Linked DNA regions of Caenorhabditis elegans. The protein of the gene in region 4 purifies or fractionates together with the protein of the main gene of each other region. This does not show direct contact. Each region holds a gene or a part of one and is shown on either strand. Other genes may lie near its edges. The genes, in order: clec-137, dnpp-1, idhg-1 and eif-2A.

Evidence for each region.
Region 1: the proteins of eif-2A (region 4) and clec-137 fractionate together in Caenorhabditis elegans (co-fractionation; one large-scale study listed by BioGRID). This does not show direct contact.
Region 2: the proteins of eif-2A (region 4) and dnpp-1 fractionate together in Caenorhabditis elegans (co-fractionation; one large-scale study listed by BioGRID). This does not show direct contact.
Region 3: the proteins of eif-2A (region 4) and idhg-1 fractionate together in Caenorhabditis elegans (co-fractionation; one large-scale study listed by BioGRID). This does not show direct contact.

The regions. Positions count from the first base shown.
Region 1 is NC_003280.10:4,614,208-4,621,112, forward strand, and holds clec-137 (C-type LECtin), read right to left. Parts: upstream 3,884-6,905; coding exon 3,716-3,883; intron 3,664-3,715; coding exon 3,552-3,663; intron 3,497-3,551; coding exon 3,238-3,496; intron 3,187-3,237; coding exon 3,012-3,186; 3' UTR 2,945-3,011; downstream 1-2,944. Other genes in the region: clec-136 (C-type lectin domain-containing protein), read right to left, coding at 1,470-1,659, 1,716-1,974, 2,032-2,143, 2,198-2,326; clec-138 (C-type LECtin), read right to left, coding at 4,721-4,895, 4,954-5,209, 5,299-5,410, 5,459-5,593; clec-139 (C-type lectin domain-containing protein), read right to left, coding at 5,955-6,030, 6,082-6,162, 6,207-6,313, 6,359-6,477.
Region 2 is NC_003281.10:5,859,066-5,866,996, forward strand, and holds dnpp-1 (Aspartyl aminopeptidase), read right to left. Parts: upstream 4,739-7,931; 5' UTR 4,644-4,738; coding exon 4,533-4,643; intron 4,482-4,532; coding exon 4,388-4,481; intron 4,341-4,387; coding exon 3,923-4,340; intron 3,874-3,922; coding exon 3,067-3,873; intron 3,020-3,066; coding exon 2,926-3,019; 3' UTR 2,777-2,925; downstream 1-2,776. Other genes in the region: dpf-4 (Peptidase S9 prolyl oligopeptidase catalytic domain-containing protein), read left to right, coding at 567-925, 983-1,481, 1,619-2,235, 2,290-2,746; rabn-5 (FYVE-type domain-containing protein), read left to right, coding at 5,492-5,542, 5,592-5,693, 5,748-5,954, 6,004-6,737, 7,091-7,241; eng-1 (mannosyl-glycoprotein endo-beta-N-acetylglucosaminidase), read right to left, coding at 7,475-7,691, 7,738-7,931. UniProt on the Caenorhabditis elegans protein: Aminopeptidase with specificity towards an acidic amino acid at the N-terminus. Plays a role in membrane trafficking and is specifically involved in the recycling and degradation of endocytic cargo.
Region 3 is NC_003281.10:4,565,738-4,574,293, forward strand, and holds idhg-1 (Isocitrate dehydrogenase [NAD] subunit, mitochondrial), read left to right. Parts: upstream 1-3,275; 5' UTR 3,276-3,286; coding exon 3,287-3,412; intron 3,413-3,454; coding exon 3,455-3,667; intron 3,668-3,716; coding exon 3,717-3,845; intron 3,846-3,896; coding exon 3,897-4,001; intron 4,002-4,046; coding exon 4,047-4,259; intron 4,260-4,335; coding exon 4,336-4,479; intron 4,480-4,524; coding exon 4,525-4,713; intron 4,714-5,326; coding exon 5,327-5,398; 3' UTR 5,399-6,128; downstream 6,129-8,556. Other genes in the region: pan-1 (P-granule-associated novel protein 1), read left to right, coding at 1-142; mlcd-1 (Malonyl-CoA decarboxylase, mitochondrial), read right to left, coding at 673-763, 811-916, 964-1,176, 1,226-1,381, 1,428-1,603, 1,649-1,875, 1,924-2,046, 2,095-2,229 and 1 more; Serine/threonine-protein kinase sel-5, read right to left, coding at 6,379-6,470, 7,020-7,518, 7,817-8,122, 8,172-8,285.
Region 4 is NC_003280.10:10,412,882-10,421,239, forward strand, and holds eif-2A (Eukaryotic translation initiation factor 2A), read left to right. Parts: upstream 1-3,924; 5' UTR 3,925-3,955; coding exon 3,956-3,980; intron 3,981-4,036; coding exon 4,037-4,109; intron 4,110-4,161; coding exon 4,162-4,239; intron 4,240-4,293; coding exon 4,294-4,426; intron 4,427-4,479; coding exon 4,480-4,660; intron 4,661-4,732; coding exon 4,733-5,013; intron 5,014-5,066; coding exon 5,067-5,909; intron 5,910-5,957; coding exon 5,958-6,056; 3' UTR 6,057-6,348; downstream 6,349-8,358. Other genes in the region: frpr-21 (G-protein coupled receptors family 1 profile domain-containing protein), read right to left, coding at 6,349-6,491, 6,543-6,718, 7,419-7,544, 7,625-7,758, 7,819-8,013, 8,060-8,165, 8,211-8,344. UniProt on the Caenorhabditis elegans protein: Functions in the early steps of protein synthesis of a small number of specific mRNAs. Acts by directing the binding of methionyl-tRNAi to 40S ribosomal subunits.

The DNA.
Region 1 (6,905 bases), 5.8 Mb from region 4:
CTAGCCCTTTCCACTCATTTTTTTCTATTCAATTCGTTTCGGTTTTCTGTATTTTCCCCCATTCATCCCCTCATACACAAAACAATTTTCGTTTCGATCCGCTCTTCGATCATGCGATTTTTTTTTTTTTTTCATATTTGTATTGATTGAAAAGACATCGGTGTCCTAAAAAGTTTCCAAGAAATTTGGAAATTTCAAAAACAAAATTAAATTTTTGAGCAGTTGAAAAAAATCATAGTTGCAAAAATCCTAAATCCGAATTAAAACGTAATTTTCAAGTGCGCGCACAAATTCGGAGTTTTTTACTTACAATTAATTTTCACAACTTCCAAGAACTTTAATAAACCCTTCACATGAGGAAGTGAGCATTTCAAACCATTTGAAAAACATGAGAATAAGTGCATATAAATGTGTCAATACTCTCGACACCTCACTTGAATTGAAAACTACAAGTGTTCTCTCTCTTCACTCGAAACCAGTGATTCATACGATCGTTATGGTTTCGTGTGTTTATTAGATTAAGTATCTTTCAATTATAAATTAATGTTTCCTTTTCCTTTTTTTGGCAAATTTTGGTCACTTGAATGTTCAGTTTCATTTTTTGCCAATCATCTTTTCTAAACGTCTTATTGCCAGTTGATTTTTCCAATTTTTTCAAATCTTCCAGTACGTCACAAAAAGATGCATGAAACTCAAAAGTTTTCGGAGTGTTTGATCGCTAGAGATTTCCTATAAAACCCACATTACTTTCAACAAAATGTGTTAAACTCTCAGCTGGGCCTCTCGAAAGTTCCCGTTTTTTTGGGGTTTAGTGTATTTTGGCATGTGTTTAGATCATTTTCTTGCCATAAAGTTTTCATTAAGCTCCAGGCATGTGTGCTTACCTACATACATACCTCGAACCTGTCTGGCCTACTTCAGGAGTTTGTTGGCACGAGGTAGGCCTAGATTGCCTTGAAGGCACACCGGCAGGCATCTTCTGTTGCTGATGTCACTAGGCTTCTCCTTTCACACTTACTTTAACCCCCATTTCCTGCTTAACCATTCATATATATGTATAATACAGTGAAAAACCTCCCAACCATAAAAAGTTAATCATCATCACTGTAAAAAAAAATTGACAAAAAATCCAGTCCCATCTATTTCCTCCATCATCTCTAAATCGCGTATTACCGAATATTCGCATCATATAGACCGTGTCGTGTTTTTTTTCTATGTTGGAAAGGATAGGGATTGATGTACTTATGTATAATGGGGGAAACGAGACTCGAGATTTTTTTTATTCGCTTTTGTTTTTTACAGTTTTCACTGTTTTGTAGGGAATTTCAATGTTATTTTTTTAATACTAAGTTACAAAACTATAGAAAAAATTGAAATTTATTTTTTCAGCTGACAATTTTCAATCAAAACTAAAGACAAGGTGCATCACATTTCTAGGACCCACATTTCTTATAAGTTTCTCAAAACAATTAAAGTGGATGTCTTCCACACAAAACTGCTTCCACGTCGTTTCCATATGGTTTTTCATCGTCTGTATAAGCCTGCACTGCATTTTTTCCCACACAAAACTCCAAACTTCCCCAATTCTTTCTTGTTTCTGTGCCATTAGCCTTGACAATTCCAGATTTTAGAACAATGCAATCAGCGGCGAATCGGAATCTGTAATATTTGATTTTTTATGATTTCACGCTATTTGATAATTATGTCTAATTTACATTGGACCATTGTCAGCTTGATGAACCATATAAGCAGCTGGAAGTCGACGTTTGTAATGGCTCAGCATGAATGTAGTGTCACTATTGACATCATCGAACAAAAATAGATTATTCTTGATATTACAATCTCCTTTTTCTTCTGTACTGTTGAATCGATGACGAAGTATGATTTCGACTTTATTAATACGACCGTTGCATTTTGGAGAAATTTGACCGTCAACAGCATAAGGAGCTTCAATTCCATGAGCTCGGGCGATTTCTGAAAGTTTTTGAAGATTACAACACTGAAAATGTTTTTATTGAAAAATATCCCTACCAGAAAACACTTGAATCTCGTGCTCATTTTCTGGAATGGTCAATGAAGCGTTCACATAACTGCAAAATGATCGAGCTCGGTCTCGGTTTCCCATGTTCTTGAATTGGAAAACCTGAAATATGGTCATAAAGCATTATGAACACAAAACCCAAAACTTGGAACTTACGCCCAAACACCAGTCCTTTGTATGATTGTTCCTTGCAGTTGGGACTCTCTTGACATGAGAAAACCCTTCTGGGCATTGTGGATCCTTTGCGAAAACCGCAGTCAAAAATAGCAAAAAGAAAACGAACATTTTTCTGTCAGTTTTGAAAAGTTTCGGCGGGGTTTTGTACCTATTGAAATCGATAAAATTGTGACTAAGCCATGCGGAGCCATTATTTTCCGACAGCATTTGATCGTTTCAACAAAAGCGTGATGTTCAACAACACCCACAAAATGCTCTACCGTAGTATTTATTCTTCTAAACATTTTGATTTGGACGTAGCAGATGCTTGTTGTACCTATTTTCTTGAGGTTTATCATAAATTATACATTATAAATTTACTCTAAAAGTTTTCCGGAAGCCAAAAAAGAGATAATGTAGAGCTCTCCGATTTTTCTTGACACAGAAAATAGGAAGCTTTGAGAAATTTTTTACAATTTTTAGGCCGTATTATCAACAAGATGGAACTTAAAAACGAAAAGTTCGAGACGAAAGTTAAGATGAATTAATTGACTTTTAGTTTACAAAAATGGTATACACACTTGTCAAAACTCTGTAAAAGGAAATGTTTCGTTGCGAAAATGATTTAATTGTAAACCCGCACAGGGATTTTCGTCGCCTAAGAATAACCTGAAGTTCACTTGCGGAAACAAATTGGGTGTACCTTATCTTTTCAATCAGCTAAGGTAATAAGAAATATCAGAAAGATTTCGGAAATATAATATTTATTAAATATTGAAAATTAATCTTTCCAGAAATGATAGAATACATTTACTTAGAACGGCAATCGGCCACAAAGAACGGCGGTGACATTTTTTTCTGGTAGCCTCTTGGAGCCAGCTAGCTGTCCCATACAATCCATCAAATTAGTGTGCCCATCTTTTAGTGTTCCATTAGAATAGTGATACGATCCTTTTTCCAAAACGGTACAATCTGCTGTACTGCGATACCTGAAAATGAAATGTTGGATGCAAATAGGAAAGTCGATTTTCAAAACTTACTCGATATCATCATCAGCTTGTACACTTCTTACGTTTGATCCTGCCGAAACACCTAGCTTTGTGCGAATGAATGAAGTATCCGTATTAATATCATCATATATGAACAATTCATATTTAATATTGCAAATTCCTTCTTCAGAAGTTTGATTAAATCGTTTTGCACCCTTTACTTGTCCTTTGTAAATTGCGAATTTGCATCTTGGAGAGAGTTGTCCATCAAGAGCGATTGGTACGGAAATGTTTCTCAAGCTAGCAGTCTCTGGAAATTTTACATTTTTCCGCATGCAGCAATAAAAAAATCCTCAAAAACTTACTAGAAATCACTTCGAGTTCGTGTGAATTTTCTGGAATACTCAACGACGCATTGTAATAGATACATACTGAACGGGCTCGGTCGCGATTTCCCAGATCCGTTTCATTGAAAATCTTGAAATATCATTTTAAAACTATTTAGGTGTCATTGATATGAACAACTTACCCCCAAGCACCATCCCTTTGTAAAGTTATTTTTTGCCGTCGGTGTTCTCTTGAAATACGTAAAGTTTCCCGGGCATCTTGGATCCTTCGCAGAAAATTCTGGGACTGCCAAAAATAGTAGGAATAGAACTAACATTTTATACTGAACTTCATAGAAGGCTTTCAGCATGCTTTTGTACTAGTCAAAAGCTATAAAACAGTTGTTCGCCCCCTGTAGCGTTTCCGATTCTGCGGAGCCATTATTCCCCGAATACATCAAAATGATACTGTATCTCGGGGCTGGATAGCGGAAACGACGCATTATATTTCTTCATCAGGTTGGATGATTTCATTCAAAGAAATTCTTATATAACACGTAGGTTGATAGAAGTTGTCAAGAATATTGAAACCATGCGCTTTGAAACAAAAAAATATCTGATCTAATAAAGATTCTAACAAAAGTACCCTCATTTTCAGCCCTTTTATCAAAAACATTTAACACCAAAACTGTAGAGAAATTTGTAACACATTCTTTGTCAGCTTATAATTTTTGGTAAAACAAAACACAACCTAGTTATTAGCCGTCAAAATTGAGCAACTGAGTGCAAGCCTATGACTAACATAAGGCCCTCTTGCTTGTTATGATACCTATCCAAAAATTTATGTACACAAACATTTGTGGTTGAAAACAAGACTTTGAAGCTAGATTTTTTAAAACCAAGCTTTTGTCGGCTTCCGAGGTAGAATATAAAATGATTTACAAGAATAAGTTTTTTTTTGATTTCAAGCTTCGAAACTCTTGATTTGTTACAGGGTAGTTTACTTTTAAAATAGTCCTGTCTCTGTAAATTTTGAAATATGATTAGCTCCAATCTTTAGCTATCAAAAAATACTTATTATGAAAATTATGCATATCCTCGACTGATGTTTGTTGCAAAATTGGTATTTTCTGATATAATCACAAGTGATGAATTCGAACAACAACTCCAAAATATTTATTAACAACTGTCTTTTCTGATCAATTAACTCAGAGAGGGAATCTTCCACAAAGAACACTACTATATTCGTGTTTATTTTGCTTATCCTTTTCCCCAAAGCATCCGAGCAATTCAGTTCGTCCATCTACCGCATAGAAATGTGTTCCATTAGAAAAGTAATAGTATGCATCTGTTAATGCGTTACAATCTCTGGTGAAACGAAATCTGTAAATTGAATTCTAGACTTGTTTGACGTTGAATCTAGAAATTTTCATACACTTACTTTACTCCGTCCTCCTGACTGGAGTATCCTCCATTAGTTCCAGCCGAAGTACCTAGTTTGGAACGGATAAATAAAGTATCTGTATTGATATCATCATATACAAACAAATGATTGTTAATATTGCAATCTCCTTCCTCTGTTCTTTGGTCAAAATATTGTTGGCTCTGTTCGCCTCTGAAAATAAGGGCCTTGCATCTTGGAGAGAGTTGTCCGTCGAGTGCAATCGGGAGGGAAATGTTCCGTGCGCGAATAACGTCTAAAAATTAATTACACATTTAGAAGCATATTTTTCCTAGCGATTTTGAATTGAAGACATGTCTTTAAAAAAAAACATGATCAACTTACCAGAAACAATCTCAAGTTCATGTGAATTTTCTGGATTGCTCAGCGAAGCGTTATGATAGAGACAGACTGAGCGGGCTCGGTCACGATTTCCCACATCCGTTCCATTGAAAATCTTGAAAGTGTATTTTAAAACTGGGTACTGTCTCTATCAATAACGTACCCCCAAGCACCACCCCTTTGTAAAATTATTCTTAAAAGTTAGTGTTCTTTTGACAAAAGTAAAGTTTTTTGGGCATCTTGGATCCTTTGCAGAAACCGCCGGAACAACCAAGAATAGTAAGAATAAAACTAACATGTTATGAAGAGTTCAAGAAGAAGCTTTCAGTATGCTTTTGTACTAGTCAAAAGCTATAAAAAAGCTGTACATCCCTTCAATGATTCCGTTTCTGCGGAACCATTATTCCCCGAATACATCAAAATGATACGGTATCTCGGGGGCTGGGCGGAAATGACGCATTTTATTTTTCTACCTATTTTTCAACTTTTTCTAGAGGGAAAATTTTTTATAACACAAAAAAAATCGAGTCATGATATACATTTTCAAACTAGGCATACATTGTAAGAACAATTTATATTGTGCCTCGAGGACAGATTTCTCTGAAAAATCTTCAAAAAATTCAAAAATTGTTTATACATTTGGCACTAGTTAAATAATTTTATACTGGAGCACATCCACACAGAACTCCGAAGAATGGCACCTCGCCGACTTGTTTGTCTGGTTCTTCGCCGCACCTGAAATTTTTTTAGTTTTGGGTTTGAAAATCCTGCAAAAAAAAAACTCACAAAAAATCCTTCAAATTTCCAGTATTCTTGATTGCCTGGAGATTATGTAGAGATAGACATTCAGCGATTGTGAAAATTTCTCTGAAAACTAGAACATGAAGCTTTTATCCCACTGGGTTCCTTACGTAGAGTCCCCCTTCTCCTGATACTTGTCTGATGAAGTTGGCGGTTCTCCAGACCACTTTGTGAGAATGAACGCTGGATCGGTGTGATCGTCCTCCAGAATAAATAGCTAAAACGATCGGGATACTTGAAACACACTTTTCGAAACAAAAACCTCTTTTTCTTTTGCGCAAAGTCCTCCAAACTTTCTCATTCGCCAGTCGCTGAAACCTCGGCATTTTGGATTGAACACTCCGTCCACTGCGACTCGTTTATTGTTTTTTCGAATTAAAGCTGAAATTTGTGTTCAGTTTTAACTTGCCTAAAAGTTGTTTGTCAGTTTCTGTCGGCTTTGTTGTGCCTTTTAGCATTTACATTCAATAACAATGACGTTGCATTTACATAATTTGTTTGATAAATGATAACAGTGATTGGCTTTAAGCATGTTAGTAAATACATAACTTTCAGAAAAGTTTTAGCCGCCGGCTCTATTTTTTCACATTTTCCAAATTTTTCAAAAAACCAGAAAATTCGCTTTCCAAAATAGTACGAATGCTAATCGCTGCCTCCAGGTGTTTGTTCAGCTTGCGAGAATTTGTAAAATGGCATCACGCCGATCGTATTTTTAATAAGAGACGAGAAGGGCGGGTAGGCCCTATTCTACTTGTCTGCCTACAGGCCTACTTACTGTCTTCTTTTTTTGTCATTTGAAGTATTTAGTT
Region 2 (7,931 bases), on a different chromosome or scaffold from region 4:
TCCTTTTGTGATTTGAATTTTTGTGCCATATCATTCCAAATGCTTAGTTTTTTTTTTAATGTTTGTTCAATAAACTTCCTTTTTTATTCATTCCACAAAATAAAGTGCAACATATTTTCAGCATATATGTCATAAAATTGACGAGACTGGTGAAAAACCGTACGCATACTTGAAAACCGATAAGCTGATTGGTTTCATCACTTTAAGTCATTTCCTAAAACTATAAATTCAATTTCACGCAGATTCTTCTCCGAATCTTCCGCTTGTTTTCTGCCCCAACGCAAGTTTTACTTTTTTTAAATACAATTATTATAATGATGGCATTTTTGTATGTTTAGGTGATGCCTGTTTTATAAATTAAGAGTTTTTTCTAAAAATGTTTTTAAACAACTTTAAACTAATCCACTTAGAAAGTCTGTCAAATTGAATTTTATTGATTGTTTTGGAAACAAACAAACCTCACAATTACAAAAACGCTTTCATTGTAAATATTGACGAATTTATCTCGAATATATTTATTTTTCTCTTAAAATAACTATTTTTACAGCATAAAAAGTGCCCGAAAAATGGCAACTGAAGCTGTCTACGGAAGTTGGGATAGTCCGATCACACCAGATCTCTTCGGAAAATGTAATTGCAAGTCTATCTGCGAGATGCAAGTTGTCGGTGGCAATGTCTACTGGATTGAACAGAATTCAGTAACTGGAAAACGAGAGCTTTACTCAAAACCAACGAATGGAGATACTCGTACACGCTGGGCTGATGGTCAATCTGTTCAAACTGCAATTCACGAGTACGGAGGAGGTGCTCTACATGTTCTTGCTGATGGATCAGTGCTGTTTGCTACGATCGAAGGAGTTTTCTATCAAAAGTCGGCGGATTCCGGAGTTGAGCAATTGGCAGAAGGAAATAATCGAATGTTTAGGTCAGGGATAATTTAAATGGTGTATAACTTTCAAAAATAAATAAAAAACATTTTCAGATTCTCCGACTTCTCAGCCACTGACACCCATGTATTTTGTGTTAATGAAACCCACCAAGCTGATGCAAAATTTCCCGAAAATCGACTAATCTCCATCGACCGAGCAACCAAGAATCAAAACGTCATAGCTCACGGAGCCGACTTTTACGCCTATCCAAGAGTCTCCCCGGATGGAAAAAAGCTTGTCTGGATGCAATGGAGCCTTCCAAATATGCCATGGGACGAGACATCCATCCGAATGGCTGATCTCAAAGGTGGAGAATCCAGCAATGAGGTGACGCTGAAGGACGGAACTGGAAAACAAATCAACTATTCCGAACCAACTTGGGATGGTGATGAGCTTTTAACTGTGAATGATAGCACAAACTGGTGGAATGTGTATAAATCAGCTGCAGAGCCAAATTCCGTCGAGAAGAACCTGAATCCAATTCAACGAGAGATCAGCTACCCGCTTTGGCAGCTTGGTTTCAGAAATTATGTTCTGAATAAAAAATATTTGGTGAGAATTTTAGATTGGAAATTCAAAACATTCTTCAAATATTTTAAACCTAAGTTTACAATTTTCAATATAATTAGTTGAACTAAACACAAAAATTCGAATTTTTAAATTGACCTAATGAAATTTAAATATTTCAGGTAATGAACGCAGACGGAATTTTGTATGTCCGATCGGGAGATGTTACTGTAGAGATTCCAACTCCAGGCTATACTGTATTTGGATATCTTTCACTCGACCAGAATGGTTCTGATCTTTTCGCAATTGCTTCTGGACCAAAACGAGCTTCAAGCGTTATTTCCATCGATCTCGCGAACAAAAATTTCCCATTAAAAGTTCATCGCGAATCCCGAGATTCTTCGGAAATCGACGCTCTCGAGATTTCGGAACCAGAAGAATTTGTGTTCAAATCGGATGGAGTTGATGTTTCTGGTTATTTTTATCCACCGAAAAACTGTTCATATTCTGCTCCAGCTGGAACACTTCCTCCAGTTTTACTTCTCGGACATGGTGGCCCGACGGCTCCAGCTCAGAATAATTTGGATCTTAAAAAACAGTTCTTCACGTCGAGAGGTATTGCTGTTTTTGATGTAAATTATCGAGGATCAACTGGATTTGGAACTGAATTCCGGAGAATGCTTTATAAAAATTGTGGAGTAGCTGATAGAGATGATATGTTGAATGGAGCAAAAGCACTTGTTGAGCAAGGAAAAGTGGATGCCGAAAAAGTTCTGATCACTGGAAGTTCATCTGGAGGGTAGGAATTTAATATTATAGTCATTGTTAAAGTTTTATAAATATTTTTATTCAGGTATCTGATTCTGAGCTGTCTTATCTCACCGAAAAATATCATAAAAGCAGCAGTTTCTGTGTATGGAGTTGCTGATCTATTGGCTTTAGATGAAGATACTCATAAACTGGAAAGATGTTACAATGAGATGCTTATCGGAAAATATCCTGAGCAAGCGAGCATTTACGAAGAAAGAAGTCCCATTTATCATATTGATAAAATTAGAACTCCTATTGCATTCTTGCATGGAAGGGAGGATACGGTAGTACCGATGAGCCAATCTATCACAATGTATGAGAAGATCCGTGCTAGTGGAGTTACAACTGCTCTGATGCTTTTCGATGGAGAAGGACATGGATTTAGGAATGGACAAGTGATCAAGGAAAGCACCGAAGCCACTTTCTACTTTTTGATGAAGGCCGTTGGAATTGAACCATCAATTAGTTCGAAGATCGAAATTGTTAATCCGAAGCATTAGATTTGTTTTTGTTTAAATTGTTATCTATAAAATTTCAGCTTTTAAAAAATGCATTGCTTTATTTATTTGAAAACCAAATAAATTATAGAAATTAATATTCACAGAGAAACTGAAGATTGGATATCACGACGCGATTAAATAGTAGAAATTATGATTGGGAAGGATCAACATTGATTTGCCTATTGCATGTTGGAGAGGACAGTTGACAGACGTTCGTAGAATGTAGAGTAGAGAGTGGTGGCCTGGTAGATGCTCGAAGTGTCGGCAAACTCGCTGAAATCAAGAAAATAAATGATGTGATTTAAAAGTTAAATCCCTACCGAATCGAGTGCATAGCCAACTGTGGGCATCCTACATCGACAGTCTGCAAGCCAAGTTTTGTGGCAAGAATCGGTCCAACCGTCGATCCACAAGGAGAATCATTGCGAACGACGACAACTTGAAGAGGAACTTGAGCTTCGAATGCAACTTGCTTGAGAGCAGCGTGTGTGGTTGAAGTTGTTGCATATCGTTGATTGACGTTTACTTTGACGACGACTCCACCATGGAATGCTGGACGATGGTTCTCTTCGTGTTTTGCCGAATAGTTTGGATGCGTGGCATGAGCTTGATCTGCAGAGATGAGCATGCTCTTTCCGATTGCTTCTTCGAAAGCGGTTGTTGAGCCTCCAGCAGAAAGACGGCGGAGAACGAACTCCGTGAAAGAAGAAGATGCTCCCATCGCGGAATCCGATCCTACTTCCTCGTTATCGAAGCATGCGGCAATACGAATTTGTGGGTCATTCTTGAATGACTCTCCAGTTAGAGACTCGAGAAGTCCACTTATCGCAGTGTATGTTCCAACTTGGTTATCAAGACGAGCTCCAGAAATGAATTCATCCTCCATTCCAACAATCGCAGCCTTGTTTGTATCGTAAAGGTAGAGATCCAAATCAACGATGTCTTCTGGCTGACATCCAGCTTCCTTCGCGATTAATCCGAGGAATTGGGGATGATGATTGTTGGTAATGTTTCGTGGATCGGCAAAACCAGTAGACTCGGGTTTCTGTGGTGCATTGATTCCAGCAGCAGCGAAGGTTTCCAGAATCGGGCGGAGCTCAGTTTCCGTGTTTGGTTTGAATGTTGTTCTGAGAAATAAATTGCAAAATTAGGACGATAGTGACAAATTTCAAATACCTGTCGGTCTCCAAATGAATCGCCAAATTTGGAATGAAAAGAACTGGCTTTTTCACGTCGATCAGCTTGTGTTGAAGTTTCTCTCCATTCTTGACAATAACCAATCCAGCCACCGACAAGTCACGGTCAAACCAGGTTCTCCAGATTCCACCTCCGTAAGTTGATACACCAACTTGAAGGAATTTATCAGACTTTTGGTGGGAAATTGGTTTGACACGGAGGCATGGACTGTCAGTGTGTCCCACAACAATCGAGAATCCACTCCCTGGCTTGTAAGATCCTCCAACAGCGAATGCAAGAATTGCAGAGCGGTTCTTGGTGACAAAGTATTTGCTGGTTGGCTGAATGTCCCAGTGACCCGATTCTGGAAGCTCTGTGAAACCGGCTTGTAGAAGGCGATCCTTCACTTCTTGGGTGGCTGCAATTGATATACTTTTGAATATAAAAATAAATAATAAATATTACCATGAAATGGAGTAACTGCTTTATTCAGATAGTTGATGAACTCTTGTGCAGCTTTGCGGATCTCCGGAGCACTTGGTTTCAGAGCAGCGGCCATCTAAATTAAATAAACTTATTTATGAAAAGACAAAGAAAGAATAGTGAAAACCTTTTTGGGTTGATAGCTGGTATTGGGCTCAATTTCATGTTTTGGATAGCAGCCGCACACTACTTTCAATTTTTCGGAAATACGATTTTTTCGAAACGACTTCTTTGTCATGATTCAAACTCAAAATGAATTGAGCCCAATATTTTACTACCATCGGAGTGAAAATGAAAAAAGATAAGACAAAATGTTGCATAAAATTTGAATCTGGAATGATTTTCTATAAGCGATAAACGGTTAGTTTCTACTGGGCGAAAGTTCGAGAGAAGAATATGTGGTGCTGATTATCAAAAATGCGTTATCAGTGATAGTTATCAAGGTTTCTAATAGAAAGAATCAAAAATGAAGGAAAAGATAATGGAGAAGACATGAGAAAAGCGAAAAGATCAGGAATTATTTGAGGAAAGTTAGTGAAAAAAAAATTGACAGGAAAAAAACGTCGGAAAATTTTAGAAATCGAAAAGAAGAAAAGAACAATTTTTAACGTAGAGTAGTACTGTATTCAAGGCGCAACGCTTAAATCATTTTTTGGGTCCTGGAAAGAAAACTACAATAGCTGGAAATGTTCTGAACTTTGAATATAATTATAAATTTTATATATAAAATTTTGTTCATCTTGATTTTTCAGAGCGATATATTGTTTATAAATAGAATGATTTTTACTACAAATTTTTAAATTTTTATGAATAAAAAATAAATTAAACATATAATAACATTTTCATAACTCAACAGAATGAAATATGTTTATTTCACTCCAGAAAACATTTACTTTTCTCTTGGAAGTCGTTTAATGAAATTAATACTAAAACTGCTCGATTATTATGTTTAATGCTCTTTAAATGTGTCACCAAATGGCCTAGGTTTTCAACCTAGTCCTTGCCAACATTGTGATGAGACCTTTTTTATTTAATTAATCAAATGACTCATATATTTTTCGAATAAATCAAGAATTTTCTAGAAAAATGACAGAACCGTCGGCTAGCGAAGAAGTGTCTGCCGGAGTGAATGCAGAGGTAAGAGTGTTGCATTTTAATCGATAATTCAAAGACCCTTAAATTTCAGGAGCCGCCAATACCGTCCAAAAAGATTTCGCAAGTCTCACCGAATCCAACGCTTCAATGCGAAATGTGCCAGAATTATGAAGTGAATTTGACTGCATTACAGGTGAGAATCATGGGAACACGGCAAATATGCAAATGATTTTTGTTTGTTTTGCAGGAAAACGAACGAAAGTTAAAGGAAGAAGTGAAGGCGGCAATGGAGTTGAACGAAAGATATCAATTGGATTTGAGCAATGAACGAGACTATCGAAAAGAATTGGAAAAGAAAATGAACGAATTATCGACTAATTGTTTGAATCAGGTTAACGAGGCGGCAAAGGCAAATGCCAAGTCGGAGCAGCGGCTGGACGAGCTCAGTGCGAAGGTATTTTAAATAAATAAAAAGAATAACTTTTAAAAAAGCTTAATTTCAGCACGACAAATCGATAGAAGTATTCACTGATCAATTGAATTTGGCTCGTGACAAACTGCAACAAGCCGACGATGACTTTGTTACATTAGGAAAAAAGTACAAAAAGCTTCTCGGGTCCACACGAAAATCAGCACAAGAACTTCGGTCCGAGAAAATCGATATGCCAGCTGATCTTGATCAATTACAATTTATTTGTCTCAAGAATAGGGAAGAATTGATAGAAACTCGAGCTGCAAAAGAGCACACCGAGCAGCAGCTGCAGGATGAGATCACCGTCCTGCGAGCTCAGATTCTAGAAGAAAGAGCGCACAGAGAAGATCAGGAAGTGACATTTACTGCAGAGATCAGCAGATTGCAGTCGGAATTAGGAAAGATCAACACTCGAATGGTTGTTGCATCGGAAACAATTGCAGATCAAGATTCGAATATCAGACAAATTAGAGATCTTCAAACAACTGTCGGTGAACTTGAGACGCAGGTTCAGCAGGTTCAAAATGAGAGAGCCGCTGTTGAACAGACGGCACAGAACTACAAGCAACGGTGCACAAGTCTTCAACAAGAACTCGACACATCTGAAGTTGTGCAGAGAGATTTTGTGAAATTATCTCAAAGCCTCCAAATTCAATTGGAGAAGATTCGACAGTCGGAACAAGAAGTACGATGGCAATGGGATGATGATGTAGATCAATGCTCAAATTGTGATACATCGTTTGCTAGAGTTAAAGTTAAACCTCAGTAAGTTTTTGAAAATGGAAGTTTGAATTTCTGATAAAAAATTACAAGAAAATTATTTTCTTCATTTTCAAAAATAAATTTTACACTTTTCCAATTAAAATATGTCAAACAGAAGATTTTAAAAAGAAAAAAAATATATAGTGATTATGAATCAAGCGTTCGGTACCCTTTCTTAAAACGACCTAAAATATTTTTAAAAAAAGGCTTCGAAAAATAAAAAATCACGCATAGTTTTCCAGAAATAGCAGATTTTTATAAGGAAAAATTTTTAAAAAAGTGCGAAAAATAAGAGATAGCACTATTTTACTTTTTCATGGAATATTTCAGTCACTTTTATTTTTCAAATCTTTTAGCTGTCTTCATTGTGGTCGGATATTCTGCATGAACTGCCTGAAAGACACCGTTCCAAGTGGACCAAATCATCGACCAGCCAATGTGTGCAAAGTATGTCACACACTGCTCAATCGGGATACAAAACCATTCTTTGCAACGCAGGATAAGTAATAATTCATCTGGAATGCTTATTCTGTCGCTGATTATCCACAACTCGCCCTTCCAATTTCACTTTCGCCACCTTTTCCCGATTTTATATGTGCATCATCCGTGTGCTAGAATGTCTAGTCTTTTAATTCTTGTACAATGCTTAATCTATTCTATATACGTACATATATACCAGAAATTGATCTAAAATTGTGCATTAAAATTTGTTTTATTGACTTTTATGAAATTAGAATTATTTAATTAGAATCAATGGAAAAGTTTTCGATCACAGTTTCGTCGTTGCTTGATGTCAAGATGCTGATGGATTCCAAATTTCCTGGCTTGTCAATATGCCACGTGGAATCTCCGGTTTTGTCCATAATTTCAGATCTATTCAGAAGCAGGTCAATTGAATTGGAAGTAGTGCAAGTTATGGTCAGGGTACTGTAGTTGACAGAATCGAAAGTGAATAGTCTGGAAAAAATTATAATGAGTAAATTTTTGTATGTTCATAACTTACAGAAATTTTCGATTTCTGCCAAAAAGAGTGAGTCCTGTAGAGTCAATTACTTGGTGGCAGAAGGAGCTTAAAATTTGAGGCTGAAGCTGCACTGTGCTCAGGCGGTAGTGCCAATTTTGATCCATTCCAGTACAGAAGTTGGTGCCAAAGTTTATAGAAGTTAGAGGACGAGTTCGGATGTGTGGAAGAAGTTT
Region 3 (8,556 bases), on a different chromosome or scaffold from region 4:
CGGTCGTCGTTCTGATTCTGATCTTCATAAACTGATTGAGAATGATCCATTGAACATCGCATCTGACTCAATTCTCGTCGTTCCAGCAATGCCAAAGAGGAATACTGGGCCGAAGAAGACTGTACGATTCCAGAATTTTTAAAGAAGAAAAATTTCATAACCTCAAATCAACAAAAAAACACTCACTGGATAATAATAATTCATATTCTCCCCGGTTGAATACCTCATTTTTCTTCGCTTTTCTTCTTCTGTAAATAGCCATTTGAAAAGTTTTCTTTTCTATTCCTTCTCTCGTCCCAACCCCCAACTCGATACGTGTTCTTTCATTTTTCTTGTTTTCTCAATCTCTCTCTTCAATACTTCTCTCTCTCACCCCTTCTGAACCACCCAACTTATCAGGTATCCACCACTGATCTTTTTGAAATCTTCATCGAACAAGTTTTCAACATGTACCTATAGGCACCGCGATCCCTGTCAAATATCCAATTTTTCTAATATTAATATTATTGTTATGACATAATAAACAATGCACTAAGTAATTAAAATTTCGAAAATTTTATTCACAAGAAACTGGGCAAGCAATCACACGAATTTGTTACAAGTATAATATGACACATTAACTAGACTAAATTCTTGAAACTCGAATACATATGAGGAGCTGGGTGAAAAGATTCAGAAGATATCCAAAACTTTCTGATTAATCGCCATCTTTTTGTGTTCAGTGTAAGCTGCACTGTTCTCGTGAACCTTCTCCAAATCGTATCTGAAAATTAAATTTTTAGACTCAAAAAAGGTTCGACCGAGTCATACCTGTAGTTTACCATAATTCCAAAACTGTTATTGATCCCTCTATGACTCGTATCTCCATTCCAATTCAGTCTATACAACTCTGCGCCGTTTCTAATGTGGAAGTTTGCTTAAAATAATTTTTTTTTCAATGCTTATCGATAAAATCATGCTTACCAACTGAATTTAAAGCCATTCCATTTCGTTTTGCATTACAAAGATAATGAGCACACGCGTACATCAAAATGTGCTGGATTGCATTGAGCTGCTCCTTTTTCGTTTTTTCATTGCTTATGACTTTCAGTAGAGTTTCGGTTGCTTCTACTTCGTTCATTTCCCTTTCAGATATATCAGAAATCCAATTGACAACCTTTTCATTCATAATTGAAGCTGAAAAAACATTGAAAGTAACTCAATTGTCTAAAAATGTACAGCTTACGATATTCTGAATTCCCTTTCAGATTTCTGATAAGCCAAGGTCGGAAACCAGGAATCGGAGATAATGTTGAATGAGTTGTGACTGATGGAACATCTTTTTGAAGTTTAGTGGCGACTTTCTTGATGAGCATATTTCCGAGATCAATACCAGAAAGACCTGAAAACGAATAAAACATGTAATGAATACATTTCTTAAATTTTACCAGGCTGTGTAGAAGTGATTGAATAATAAATTGCAGTTGTTTGATCTTCTTCTTTTCCAGTCGGTGCTCCTCTTTTTGTGATTTCTTGTACACTATCCGCTATCTCATCAACTAATGCCACGTGAACCATCACAAGTGGGTTCCGGGGAAGAGCTTCGTGGGAAAAATAGAAACATCTGAGAAAATGAAATTTTAGTTTTTTATTTTTATTTCATAATTACCGTCTCAACGGACCAAGACGTTTTCTGAAATCTGAAAGTCCTCTAACTGGATGAACTGCCTCATATTCGGCGACTTTCTGTAGAATATCTCCAGGAGATGACCACGTAAGTCGTTCCAATTTTAGATTTCCTAAAGAAAACCATGAAGTTAATACTTCTCTAGTGGCCAGTTCAATGTGACGGAGATATGATGTTGTAGTTTTGTCAGTTTCCCGTTTTAGAAGTGCCTGAAAATAATTATATATTCGATGCTAATTTTATTTTAATTTTAATACCAAAATATTAGCCCTCATTTCACAGACTTGCATAACTCCTCCCGGTAAATTTCCAATTGATTTTATCAAATTCACATAAGAAGCTGTTGCTGATGTTCTTACTTCCGGGTACATTTGATCATTCTGAACTTTACAATTTTTGGTCATACGATGTCAATGATAATAACCAACCTTAGAATATAGAGAAATCGCATGATTTAGGGCTTCTTTGTTTACACCATAGTTTGTGACGAGATCTACGAAAATCGATTTTCGAGTTTCTGGCGTGGAATTGGCATATAATTTGGAAAACTTCTCGCTATAAGTCTGAAAAATAAAATTTTTTCAAATAATTGGAAAATATAGTTCAACTTACGAGTAACTTATCTCCACTTGTTCGATTTGTGAGTCCGTCTAAAGTAGATAATAATGTGGAAGAATATCGAATCGAGTAAAAATGTGAATATCGACGAAGCATTATTTACATCAACCTACAAAATAATTATCTATGGGGGAAAATAACAGTTTCATAGCGCGAAACATTCTCGAAACAGTCCGGGAGCATGTAAATCAGCAAAACGAACAAATAAAAAGATAATCAAGTAACAGTTAACGTTTTAAATAGTAGTTAATAAAATAATAAAGACTTTGTAACTTCAGCCAAAACTATTTCTTGGATACCGATTTCTGTATAAGAAATAGACGCTATTTTTGGAAAAAGGCGTGCCAGGTTCTACATGAAACAACTATTTCAAAGAGTTTTCAATGAAACAAACTTTAAAGAACAATCCTAAGACATTTATTTCTACACAAAAATCACTAATAGATCACCTGATAAGCGCTTGAGACAACCAACAAAACAAAACAACGAAGCAACAACAATTCGGCGGCGAAAATCAATCAAGCGCCAACTGCTGTTCGAATTCCCGGATTTCCCCGGCAGTTGGCTTGAATTGCAATCTAGACTAGAAGTAAACACAAACCAATGAACCCTCAAATAGAGAGAAAAAGCAAAAATATTTGAAATAGATAGAAATGAACGAAAATGGACAAAATAAACATAAAAGACGAAAATGAAAATGTCGCGCGGCGGAATTGCGAGAAACACGTGCGGCGCTTGCAAATCAATCGGTCGGCTCGTTCCGCCCTCTTTTTTTGTGCATATAATTTCTGAAAATTATCTGTTTAGTGATAAATCTGAGTTTTCATAATGATAATGATGATATCGGGAAGATTTAATGTTTTTTGTTAAAGTTTTGAAATATACTATACCCTTCTATTTAAAAAATTGGCTACTATTCTGACATGCACTTTTAAAAGTACATTTTTAAACTGTTGTTTTTCTAGTAAATTCCATTTTTTTAACATTTCAGGTAAAAACAAGATGTCGAGCAACGTCCTCGGTCATACACTTCGCTCTTCGAAGAATGTCGTGCAAAAGGCGTTCGTCGCGACTTCACCGAACTCCGATATGCTCCGATTCCGTTCTCCAGTTCTTCAAACTAACACAGTAAGTAATTCATTTTTATCTGCTATTAATATCAATTTTCAGACTAAGCTGGCTCGTTATGGAGGACGTCACAACGTCACAGTCTTGCCAGGAGATGGAATTGGACCAGAAATGCTCCATCATGTCGAGAGAATCCTTTCAGCAGTTCAAGCTCCAGTAGATTTCGAAGTGGTTAATTTGACCTCAAAGGAAGATGCATCTGAAGATCTTGCTGAGGCTATCACTGCTATCAAGAGAAATGGTGTTGCTTTGAAGGTATTTTTGTTGAAAGATTAAAATCAAATTTAATTTTTTTTTTTTGAAGGGAAACATTGAAACTAAGTTTGATAACCCAAGCTTCGTTTCCCGAAACTTGGAACTTCGTCGTCAACTCAATCTTTACGCAAACGTTCTTCACTGTTCCACTATTCCAACTGTTCCAAGCAGACACACTGTAAGAATTTTTTTAAATCGATTTGTACAAATTTCAAATGAAAAGCTTTAGGGAATCGATATGGTTATCATCCGTGAGAATACTGAAGGCGAGTACTCTGGAAATGAGCACGAAGCCGTTAATGCTCCACATCCTCGTGTTGTCGAATCTTTGAAGGTTGGGATTATCAACTGAGATTTAGTCCTAATTTCAAATTTAAAGGTTGTTACTCGCGAAAAATCGGAACAAATTACTCGTTTTGCATTCCAATTCGCAAAGAAATATGGAAGAAAGAAGGTTACTGCTGTTCACAAGGCCAACATTCAAAAGTTGGGAGACGGTCTTTTCCTTAAAGTAGCCACTGATATCGCCAAGGCCGAGTATCCAGATATTGAATTCAATGCTATGATTGTCGATAATGCTTCCATGCAGTTGGTGGGTTGTTTATTTATTCATCAAAATAAATGTTCTGAAAAAAGACGAATAATTAAAAATCCTTATTTATTTCCAGGTTTCACGCCCACAACAATTCGATGTTATGTTAATGCCAAATCTCTATGGAAACATCATTTCAAACATTGCTTGTGGACTCGTCGGAGGTCCAGGACTTGTTTCTGGAATGAACATTGGAGAAGATTACGCCGTCTTTGAAACAGTTAGCATATTGATGAAAATATTAAATAACATTTGTTTTTTTCAGGGAACCCGTAACACCGGAACCACTCTTGCTGGAAAAGATCTTGCCAATCCAACTGCGTTCATCCGTGCCGCCGTTGATATGCTTCGTTTCCTCGGACTTCAATCACACGCCGATATGATCTCCGATTCATTGTTCCGTACGCTTGTTGATAAGAGAATTCACACCGCTGATATTGGAGGAACTTCTAAGGTAAGAATTTCATTAATTTTCTAAAGTTGTATATATTAAATTCTTACCTTTTCTTTATTTAAAAGTAGAGTAGAGTCGTTTTGGAATTTTGCTCAAGATGATATCCATAAATGGACCGTAATTTAAAAATTTATACAATTTTTCTAATATTTTGCAAAATTAAAAAATAAGATAAGTGTTTCTGAATTTCCGCGCGAATAAGTAGAATAGTTTTTTTGCGTTTTTCGGCTGTACTGAGTGATTACTCTTAATTTTGTTTTTTTAGTATTTGGTATAAAACACACATACATTTTCCGCAAAGAAATTTATGAATTATCGAGTTTTAGGCTAATTTTTGAAATGTTTTCGAATTTATTTCGGTTTATGAAGTTTTCTTTGCGGAAAAAATATTTGAAAAATTGCCGGAAAAGGCAAAAATGTCGGAACTCACATTTTTTATTCTTGCAAAATTGGAAAAATCATAGAAAAAATGTTATAAATTTTTTTACAGTTATTATGGTCCATTTTCGATGATTTTAAGCAAAACTTCAAAACGACTTCACTTTTTAGAACATTAACTTTATAAGTACTTTTTAAAAATGCACTACAAAACTTTAATTTAATAAATTTTCAGTCATCGGAACTCGTTCAATCAGTACTCGACTTCATCGAGAAGGAGCTCGAGGACCGCAACTACCGTGTCTAATTTCTACCTGATAATCGAAAGTTTGAAACATCCCACATAGTGGCTAGCTTTACCCTTACGTTCTTTTCCTCTGTTTTTTTTTCGATTAATCCATGATTCGTAGCATAATGCGTTACTCATTGTGCTCTTTCTCTGTTTGACCCCGTTGACTGAACGTTTCCGCCTGATGTCTCTTATCTTGTTCCTTTCTTCCTCATCTCTGTACCCACAATTTTCTTTGGATTTTAATTTTTTCTGATTGTTTGAATTTTTCTCATTTCCAGTATAGTACAATATTATAAAATTGGTTTAGTGAAATTCGATACTCTGTTAATAATGTTAATATTAGGTTACTGTCACAAAGTTAAGTACTCCCCCCACCAATATGCTCTTAACCTAATTAGTCAATACTTGAGAGCTGCTTGAAAAAAGGCGGAGTTTACTACTGTAGCTACTGTATCTTTTTGAATGCTCCCTAGCTCACTTTAATATTATTCATTTTTTGCCACAACTATTCTATTCTTTATTTCACCAGACTATCTAGGAAATATTGAACTAATACAAATTTTAGTTCAATATACCGGATGGTCTGGTGAAAGCAACATGCGTTGTAAGTTCTTTTTCAAAATCAAATGTCGATCGAACATTTCAATTCGAAATAATTTATTTCGGGTCAGAAAAATTGTACTAAAACTTGCAGAAAAAAAGTTGAAAAAAGAATTAATAAATTACAGAAAATATGCATATGAAACTGGGAGATTGAGTCTATCACAACTACATGCGTGGGTGGATACCAAAATATGAAAATTACAAGGAAAGCATATTCCATATTATACATATCATAAGTACATTGGCGGGAAAATACCAAAAGAAAATAAATAATTGAGAAAATAAGTGATTCTAAATTTGACACAACGACAACTTTGGGGGGAGGGTGAATTGCAAATCACTAAAAAGAACAAATTGTGTAATATATAAAAAGAAATATGAAAAATTCCAGTTTACAAGTCGGTTGGATCATCATGATCTTCCGGTTGGAAGGATGTATTCACAAATGATGCATTTTTGCCAGTCAGTGACGATTTTTTATCTTCTGAAACAGTAAATTTTAATTTTAAATAAAACATTAGTTTTTCTATACGGAAGGGTCGTCGTAAATTATTCTGTTTAAAAAAACCAAAAATTTCAGTTTCTTTTTGAAACAAACTTTAAAATTTTGGTCAGTTTTATTTTTTTAGCGATCGGAAATTTTTTAAAAGAAAAGATCGAAACTTTATTACTTTATTTACAAACAAATATATTGAATTTCATTAGAAAAATATGAAAATTTCTTTTAAAAATTTGATTTTTTGAAACCTAGCCTCATATTTTGGCTATTTTCATATTATCGGATATTCCAGTTTTTCCGAAATTGTTTGTTAACCTTTTTTAAAAGATTAACTCTAAAAAAGTTTTGAAAAATATAAATTATTTTCAGAAAAGTAGGGACTAGATGTATCAAAAAAGGTTGAATTTCATTACAAAAATATTAAATTTTCTTTAAAATCAAAGAACTCAAAAATCTTAAACTCTTTTTTCGTATTTCATAACTTTCTTTTTCAGAATTTTTTGTTAAAAACCGACAAAAAATCTGAAAACTGACTGGATGATTTTTTAACAACTGGAGGCATTGGAGAAGAGAACTGCAAATCATTTGCAACAATTGATGGATGTGATGATCGTAATCCAAATGTGCTCTTTTTCTTTTTCTTATTCGAAAAAGTTGTTGCTCCATCATTCGTCCATATTTCAGCTTCAGATCCATCGGTTTCAGGTTCAGAGGATCCTTTTTCTCGATATTCTTCTAATTTTAATTTATCCTTCTTCCCATCTTTTTTCTCTTTTTTCTTCTCCTTTTTCAACAATTTCTCCTTTTTACCCAAAGCCACTGGAATCGTTGCAGTCGTCTCTTGTGTTGGAGAAGCTTCTGTTGGTTTCTTTGGAAGAGGTGGTGGTGGTGGATCCGTAGGTGCGCCAACAGAAATTAAAGTTCCAATAATTGGCTCACAAGGGACTGTATCAGAGTCTCGAACAGCTTCAGGAAACGATGTATTTGACATTGATGGAATTATTGAAACAGGAGCAGCTGTGGGTAGATCCGGCTGAAAAGGGCTATTATAAAATCTCAAAAATAACTTTAAAAATGAGTTTTTATAAGCTTTTCTACATTACATTTTTTGGCGAAAGTTAGTTTTTTTTCATCGAAAAATATTAAAATTCTACAGCAACGAAAGTTTGAAACTACAGTACTATTTAAAGGCTGACGCCTTTTTTCATTTGACTCAAGTCTGGCGCTTCGAGACCGAGTACCGTAAAATTTCGCGTTATTTTTGTTACATTTTTTTTTTGATTCAAAATAAGAAGAATTTTAAAATATTTTTACAATTTTTCTGTACGAACCTTAAATCGACAAACCAACGGAGTTGCTTGTCTTGGTAATGTGGCTGGTGCAAAGACGTTTTGATGTTCAGACGCAGGTCTTTCAAATACCGTATCTCTCCGATCCGTCCACCGATCTCCAAGATCCCAGTCATCATCCAAGTTATTTTTTGCTGTGGGCAACGGAGCAGTGATGATCATTTTCGGAGTAAGCTCATCTCGGAGAAATGGATTCGTGATAGGATTCTGTGTATGCGGAGTTGATGTTCCAATGAATAGTGGTGGGTAATTAGTAGATGAAGATGAGAATGATGAGATCAGTTCGTGCTGTAATTTTTAAAGATTACAATTTTTGAATGTAATCGAAAAAGCATACATCATCGTCATCCTCCAATCCATCATCTTCTAATAAAGGACGACTTCCACCTTCTCCATCTTCACTTCCAACTGTATTTTGAGAGTCCTCGTCGTGAGAAGTGTCACCGCCTCGCTGAAAAAATCATTGAAAAACTTTTTTTGAAGAAATTAAAGTTATTGTTTTATTTTTAAAAATGTTTTAAATTGTTTAAAAATTTGTTTTTGGTGACAGGCATTTACCAATGAATTAAAAAATATTTGGTACAATTTTTTTTAATTCGGAACTTTTCTTCGATAAGAAATGTTCCAAATAAATAAATATCGTTTTTTTTTCAGATTTTTTGGCAAAAAAGGGTTCTTGCTTGCTTGGTTTTCTGGACCAAAAAATTCGACAATTGAAGTTT
Region 4 (8,358 bases):
GTGAAATAAGAACAAATTGTTGTCTACTATGAACAAGATGAGATGAAAATTAAGAGTTGTCACACTATTGAAACAAGTACTCGTTGCAAATTCTGAGGAGACCGGGGTCCCGTGTTGTGTCTAGGAAGACTTGTCAGTCAACAAATTAGTTTGGAATGATCTATATTGGTCTTGAATAATCTTGGCCCAAAATTATTAATTGTTAACAATTGGGAAATTTTCTAAATAGTTTTGGAGAGACAAATGCAACCTTGCCTAGGTTTTATAAAGTTTCTTACCCAATTTGAAAACAGTTTCTACGAGAAGGGTTTGAAAAACCTAAATCTACGCAGAACGATAGAAAAGGAGGAGTTGCTTTGAAACTTTTCCACTTCTGAGACAAAAAAAAGGGGCGCTAGATTAATTGAAAACTAACAAACTTCTAGCTAAAAAAGGAGTAGCAACAAATAAGTTCAAATCTCTGAATTTTTTTAAAATATTTGATTTAAAATTATTTAAATATTTGTAACATCGTTCAACACTAGAAGAACAAATAGTTCCCTAACAAACATTTAACAATATTCGTGCGTACAAGGTAGTATTGAGGCATCTTTTGACAACCAGTTTGGTTTTATTAATACAACTTCTTAAAAAACAAACTCGACTTCAAAATTTAAGAGCAACGATTTCTGGACAACATAATATATTTGTGTTGTGCTTGTAGTTGTTTTTGGTAATGGAATTGAATACTGCACTACTTACCCTTCTCTTTTTATATCTTGAAAATATTTTCTCAAAATACGAAAACGAAACTCAAAAACCGACTCAAAAAAGCGGGGCCATGAATTTTCATTTTGGATCACAAAAACAAACTGTTTCAATTATTAATATTCAAACATTGTAAAGCTCTAAACACTAAACAATTCGTTAAGTCTCTTAAAAAGTTCAAATTTTCGAAAATTTGCTAATTTTCCCAAATCTTGTCTGAAATTCTCTAAAAATTTAAAACAATTTAGACATTTTTTTGCCAATTTAGATTTTATTTTGGCATTTTCCAATCTAGTTTTTGACGGTTTGAAATATTTATGAGGGAAAAATAGTTTTTTTGTAATTATTTTTTGGTAACAATTGCTTTTGCCATTGAAATCTAGCAAACAAAGTGTTCTCGGAAGTTCCGAGATGTTGATCAGACTTCTACCAAACTGTGGCTGACTCATGTGAAAAAACTAAAATTTCCTGCAAACCTACGCAAATGCCAACTATAACAATAGCCATTGTTTTTTGTGATTCTCATTGGCAGAGGTGCACAACATCCGGTAACAGTTTTTCTGCAATATCCGCTTTTATTCAAAATGATGATAACTAAACTTGAGCACAAAGTTCAAAATGTTTCATTGAATAGATCAGAACATTTGAGTTGGCGTAAATAAAAATTGTGAAACTGCCAAAAAATGAAGACTGAAATTTGGCATTTGGGTGATAGAAAAGTTGATTTTCTTCAAATTCCGTCTAAAGTTTCTAGAATTGCCGTATTATTAATATGGGACAGGTAGTGAACCGGTATGTGCACGGAATCACTCATTAAAAATTCATTATATATTTAGACATTGAAACCGGATAAACCGGACTGATAGTAATTTTGAAAATTGCTGATTGATATATGAAAAAATAACTCGTCATATCTATCGTCTTTCGGATCATCCTGTTTGCTCGTCCCTAGAAATTTGTTCCGCTGTTTTAAATTAATGAATCAGATCTGAACGTATATTTGAGTAATTCACTTTTCCAAAAATAGCGCAAGAAATATGTTCCAATGGTCTATTACACCCACTTTGCCCCAAAGTCTGATCTTATATAATCTGACAACAGACTTCAGAAAGTCTGGTCTTGTGAAAGGATAAGAGCATAAAAGCTTCAAAACATGTAAAAGTTTTCAGAGAATAAAAACATTATTCCAAGGATCATGAAGGATGACTAGCGTCAAAGAGGACTTTGCATTGAAATGAAAATCGTCTGAATATCTGAAATTCTTGCAAAAAATTCTTGCAAAACAATGTTTCCACATAGTGTCAGGCTGCCCCATTTCGGTTTGACCTACAAAAAATGCGGGAATTTTTGCCCAGAAAAATGTGGCTATTTGGTTTTTCGAGAGGGTTTAAATTACATATATTAATGCAACCAAAAATCACAACGTACCAATCACAAAATCTATTAATATAAACCTAATATTTCCGGATTGGCCGCCAACTATAATTCGTTCATTTCATGTACTTGGACGCTTCCTGATGTATCTGAATAGGAAATGATCAACTTTTAAGACATCCTCGTGATGATGAGACACTCAGATGAGAGACTGTACTCTTACGATAATCCACGTGTTGTTATCATAGATTAAACACCTGGGATGAGCAAGTAACGAATTTTTTGAACAGTTTTTCGAGGTTTTGAGACTTGAAAAATACGGAAGTTTCGGAAGAAGTAGGTAAGCCGGTACTGACTTAGTATAAGATTAGAAAAGGATCATGGTCTTATACTTTTAGAAAGACTTGGTAAAGAGTAAACTGAAAATGAGTAGGTGAGCAGTAAGAATTCAATTCTGCCGTTGGCGAGGGAACGCTTACAAAGAAGCACATATATTTTCAGAAAAAGCAGAATTACCGTAAATCGGATGCTTCTCAATATGGCACATCTACTATTTCGTTGCAAATATAACAATCTATCGTGTCTCGAAATACCACGAAAATCCAAATTTTAATTAATTTTCCGTAGTTTTTCTTGCGATTTGTAACAATTAATTTGTTTGAAATTAGTTTTTTATAAATTTCTATGAAAATTTTTTAACGAGAAACTATGAAAAATCGATGAAAAATCCGCAGCAACAAAAATTTTAAATTACAGTACTCTTTAAAGGCGCAGATCCGTTTGTATTTTACCAAGAGAGCGCGTGGCAAGACCGGGGACCGTATTTTCTAACGCTCGATAATGTTATATTCGAGTTTTTTTGAATTAAAAGGGGTCTACTTTCCGATTATGACCTCAAAAGAGTACTATAATTACAAACTTTCGTTACTCTAGAATTCTCCTCGATTTTTTATAGTTTTTCGTTGTAAATACATTTAATTATTTACAAAAAAACTTTTTTATAATTCAAAAACACATAAATGTTAAAAAATCGATGAAAATTCCACAGCAAAATTTGTTTTTGAAATTACAGTACTCTTTAAAGACGCACACCCTTTTGCATTAAAAAAATTGTCGCTTCGAGACCGGGTACCGTGTTTTTTTTGGCGAAAAAAGCCAAATTCAGTGCCTGGGTAATATTGTTTTTTTCATCCTTGAAAATAACTTCTCGAAATAAATTTTCAAGAGACCAATTTCAATTCCGCCTACGCGTTGTCTCTATTCAATTTCTTATTTTCATTCAGCGTAGCAATGAAATTCGAAATATTTGGAGAAAAGACAGTGGCTTCCATAAATACTCAGATTTTTGTCGATCGAAATACGACGAAATTCCGGAAATATTTATATATTGTGTAGCTTTAGTTTAAATTTAAATTTAACTCTGCAATTTAATATTATGCAATTAATCGATTAAACAAAGTCTTTGCAAGTTTGTAAACTATTTCTGCCTACTGTACTTTGTGTGCAAACACCGTGACGCAAACGATGCACTAAAACTGCATCGAATTAAAAAATCGAATTATTTTTTATTTTTCGAGGAATATTTCTTTTTTTTTTAACTGTTTCTCCCAATATTCAATTTTATTTAATCTTTTCCCGCTAGAATAATTTATTCTGGATACGGTGCGCGAAATTCTGCATTTCCAAATGTATGCCGGCGCCAAATACGACGCCATCTCGTGATTCGAATTTTTTCGTCATTTCCTCGAGCTTTTCTAATTTTCTCCTACTTCCTGAGAAATTTAAGACATTTTCTTTTTTCAGACTTTCTCAAACATTGATTCAGATCAATAAAATGGGTGATAACCTGGTGTACGCCGGTGAGTTTACTTTAGACAGCTTTGAATAGGCCGTAAAATTGCGAAATTTGTTTCAGTTCGATCAAGTGAAGGCTTCTACCTGAAGCGCGGGCTGGGCAAAGACGCGGTGACAGTTTTTGAGCAGAATAAGTACGTAATTCAGAACAATTATCAGGAATCAATAATTAAATGTATTTTTTAGAACCTCGAGAGACGTCGCTTGCAATGTGTTCGCTTACAGCAACAACGGACAGCTGTTCGCCTATTGCGATAATCAAGTGTAAGAAGAAGTTTCAGGAGAGGAATATATAGTTAAATAATGTTTTTTTTTTAGAACACGGGTATTCGAGATCGCAACAAACAAGGAGATTCTTTGTGTGGAGCTGAAAAGAACTCGGAAGATCTTGTTCTCACCAAAAGACAATTTCCTGCTCACATTCGAGCCATGGGCAGTTTACGGACCAAAGGTTTGAATAATTTTTTATTTAATTCAGTTTGAAAACCTTTTTTTCAACTTTAGACTGCAGAGAACCAAAAGCCAGAACCAAATGTGCGAGTCTACAGTCTTGCGGATGGAAAGCACGTATCAACGTTCTCAGCTCCAAAAGAAGCATCGTGGGAGCCTCAGTTTTCGGATGATGAGTCGTTGGCTGCAAGAATGGTTGGCAGTGAAGTCTTCTTTTATACAAACATGTCTTTCGGTATGAATTTCATGAATTTTCTGAAAATTGATATTATTATTACGACCGTTATCATAAAACTTATCTTTTCAGACCGTTACGACCACAAGCTTGTCGAGAAGGGTGCGACCAACTTCGCATTGAGTCCAGGTCCTGCTCCGAATCACGTGGCTGTCTATGTCCCTGCCGTTGGATCCACTCCAGCTCGCGTGCGAGTTCATCGAGTCTCCGAATCGTTCCCAGTCGTCGGCAATCGTACGTTCTTCAAATCTGACAAAGCCGTAATGACATGGAATCAGCGTGGTCAATCACTTCTCATTCTTGCTTCTGTTGAAGTGGATAAGACAAATCAATCTTATTATGGAGAGCAAAGTGTTCGTTTTAAAATTTTCTCAAATCTCCCCAATAATTATTTAATTAATTTCAGCTATACCTTATCAACATTCAATCAGGAGAGTCTGTAGTTGTTCCTTTGGAGAAGAAAGGTCCAATTTACGCTGCAAAGTGGAATCCCAACGGCCGAGAATTCGCTGTTTGCTATGGTTATATGCCAGCCAAAGTGACATTCTATAATCCGAGAGGAGTTCCAATTTTCGACACGATTGAAGGTCCACGAAACGATGTTTTCTATAATGCATTTGGAAATATTGTTCTGATTTGTGGATTTGGAAATATCGCGAAGGGAAAAATGGAGTTTTGGGATGTGGAGACGAAAAAGGAGATTATTTCGATCGAGGTGCCAAATACAACTCTTTTCGATTGGGCTCCAGATGGTCAACATTTTGTTACATGCACCACTGCTCCAAGGCTTCGTATAGATAACAGTTACCGCTTCTGGCATTACACGGGTCGAATGCTTGCTGAAACTCACTTCGAGTCTCCAAAAGAGCTGTGGGAAGTTCGCTGGCGTCCAATGACTGGATACAACAAGTTTGCCATCAAAGAGCTAACCAAGACGGACAAAATGGCCGCTGGCTTGCCAATTCGAAAGAAGGATGCATCTCATCCACTGAATAATGTTCCAGCAGGAGCAGTTCGTCAGGCTGGTGCCTACATTCCACCTCATCTCAGGAAACCGCTAGGAGGTGGAGGATCAGCTGGACCACCATCAGCTGCAGCACCTACGCCAGGAAACCAGAATCAACGGCCTGCACAGCCACGTGCTAATGGAAACGGAAATGCTCCACAACCATTCCGACCACAGCAATCGGAACAAGAAAGGAAAGCATTCCAACTCAAAAAGAAGGTTGAGGAGATTAAAGTTCTCAAGGTGAGTTGTGCGAAGTTTCAAAAATATTTTCAAACAAATAATTTCCAGCAACGAGTGGCGAATGGCGATCAACTTCAACCAAACCAAATGGAGAAGATCCAACGTGAAAACGAATATCTCTCAGAGCTCTCCAAACTGACCATTTAAAATTGTGTTCTTTTTTTCTGTGTTTTTCCCTCGATTATCATTTTTTTGTTTCTCTTTTCTCCCGATTGACTCACCTGTTTCCTATGAGTTTTAGACTTTATACATTCGAGTGAAACCTGAAATTTTTCCCCAGTTGTTTTGAATATCTATTTATCAATTGTCTTCCATATTCTTTTAGCCTATCTTTTTCTCTCCCCAATCTCTTATTATGATTGTTTATTTCTTTAATTATTATTGTCATAATATGAACTCCCGTAATAAGAGTAACAAAAAAGTGATGAAATGAAGGAAGTTACGAGCTGTTCGTCTCGATGCTCTTCTCTCGTTTGATGTAGTCGGTGATCTCCTGTCGCAACTTTGGATTACACTTGGCGTAGATGAAAATACGAATTGCCGAGGATGCCATATAGCAGATGGAGACAGTATCAGACAAAACTGAAATGGAAAAGTATTTTATTATTATAATAGAAGTTTTTAAAAACTAACCGATATAAAATGTGCTCGACTGCATTCGATCCGTGGATTCGTAAAGATAAGATGGATCGAACCTCTCAAGGATCGTCAGAAAAAGATGAACGCCATTACAAACCAAATATGAAGTGACAATAGCCAACATCGTGTAAATTGCATTTCGAAGCTGTGATCGCTTACTTCGGGATGATCTGGAACAAAAATAATTAATTTTGGAAAAGAAATGAGCTCCAGTGAGCTCAAATGTGCTTCTAGAAGAAGTTGACATGTTTTAACATCGAATATGTAGAAGTTCAAAGCGCCAGCTCTTGGTTTCACATAAATATTATTATAGGACCGCAGAAAAAAACTGATCGACATATTAGCGCGCTCCACGGTCAATGGAGAACGCCCCGCCCCCAAGCTATGGGTCTCGTTAGGTATTTGGCCGGAAAATCGTTAATTCAAACGTTTTCAATCATTTTTTCGTATTTTTTGGTATGTTTTCCGTTGTTTTTAATAGTTTAGGTATGTTGAAATTTAAAAAAAAAATAAAATTCACAACTTAATGAAAGTTTTCATGCATCTTTAAAAAATCATTACATTTTTTTAATCATTAAAAATAACGGAACACATATTATTAAAAAGCCAAACCGGATACACTATTGGAAAACGTTCGAATTTACGGTTTTCCCCAAAATACCTAACGAGGCCCAATTTTTTTACGTCCCCATAATACTTATTATTAAATTTTCGAATTCTTTATCCATTTGGAACCATGGGGCGCGTTTTCTGACCATCTGCAAGCGATGAACGTATAATATGATAAAATTACACAGTAGTGAATAGAAGAAGTTAGAAGTGGATTTGCTACGATATATTCCGGAATTTATTACGCATTCCGTGACTCACTCCCTGAGTGCCAGTACGAAAGTGTTAAAAATTGATGGCCGATGACGTGGAAGTTCAACGTCTACTGAATCAGTGATATCATCCACATTCTGGTTTTCCACGATTTCAGACGATACCGCCGCAGAACTGTACTTTATTGATGGGGATTCAATTTTTAAAGAGTATTTTGGGACAATTCTTTAATAGAACGTTTATGACAACCCCACCTGTGGATCAATGATTCCTTGATGACGTCAGCGGCAACTTGCAGAAGCACATAGTTTTCTGGAAGATTTCCCTGAACAAATGACGCTTTTTTCACTTCTGTTGTAGTTCCAGCACCTCGGAGAATAGGGTACATCTGAAAAAAAATGGTTCAGTATATTTCCATTTTAATAAGACAGTTAAAACAATAACGTACATTTTCCCTTTTCTCAGCTACCAATCTCTTGATAATTGTTAGATTCAGTAGCAATAGTACCACAAACGGAAACATCATCTGAATTGCAGTGATAACATGGAAATCGTATATTTCGTATGCTTCTGTGGCGGCGAAAGGTGTTCCGTCTAATGATTCACTTCTGAAATAGTCGTCACACAGAGGAAACGTTTTGACCTGGAAAATTCAATTTATTGATTAACTTTTCAAAGTATAATCTCACCTTCATCGCATAAAGCACAGGAATCCGAATTGCCACCGAGAAGAAACACACAAATATCACAGTAACAATTCGTCCACGTTCGTTGAAAATCGCAGAGAAGGCTTTTCTGAAACTCAAACTTAAAGTTAAGACTTGAAAAGTTATCCCAAACCTTTTTCGTTCTGTGCATGTCCAGAGATATCGTTCGAAAGTAATTAAAATTAGAATAAATGGAATGGCGAATTGAACAACTTTTGCAATAAAGAATACGGGAACAATGTAACGGTGATAGAGGAAGAATAATGTCTGTAAGAAAATTG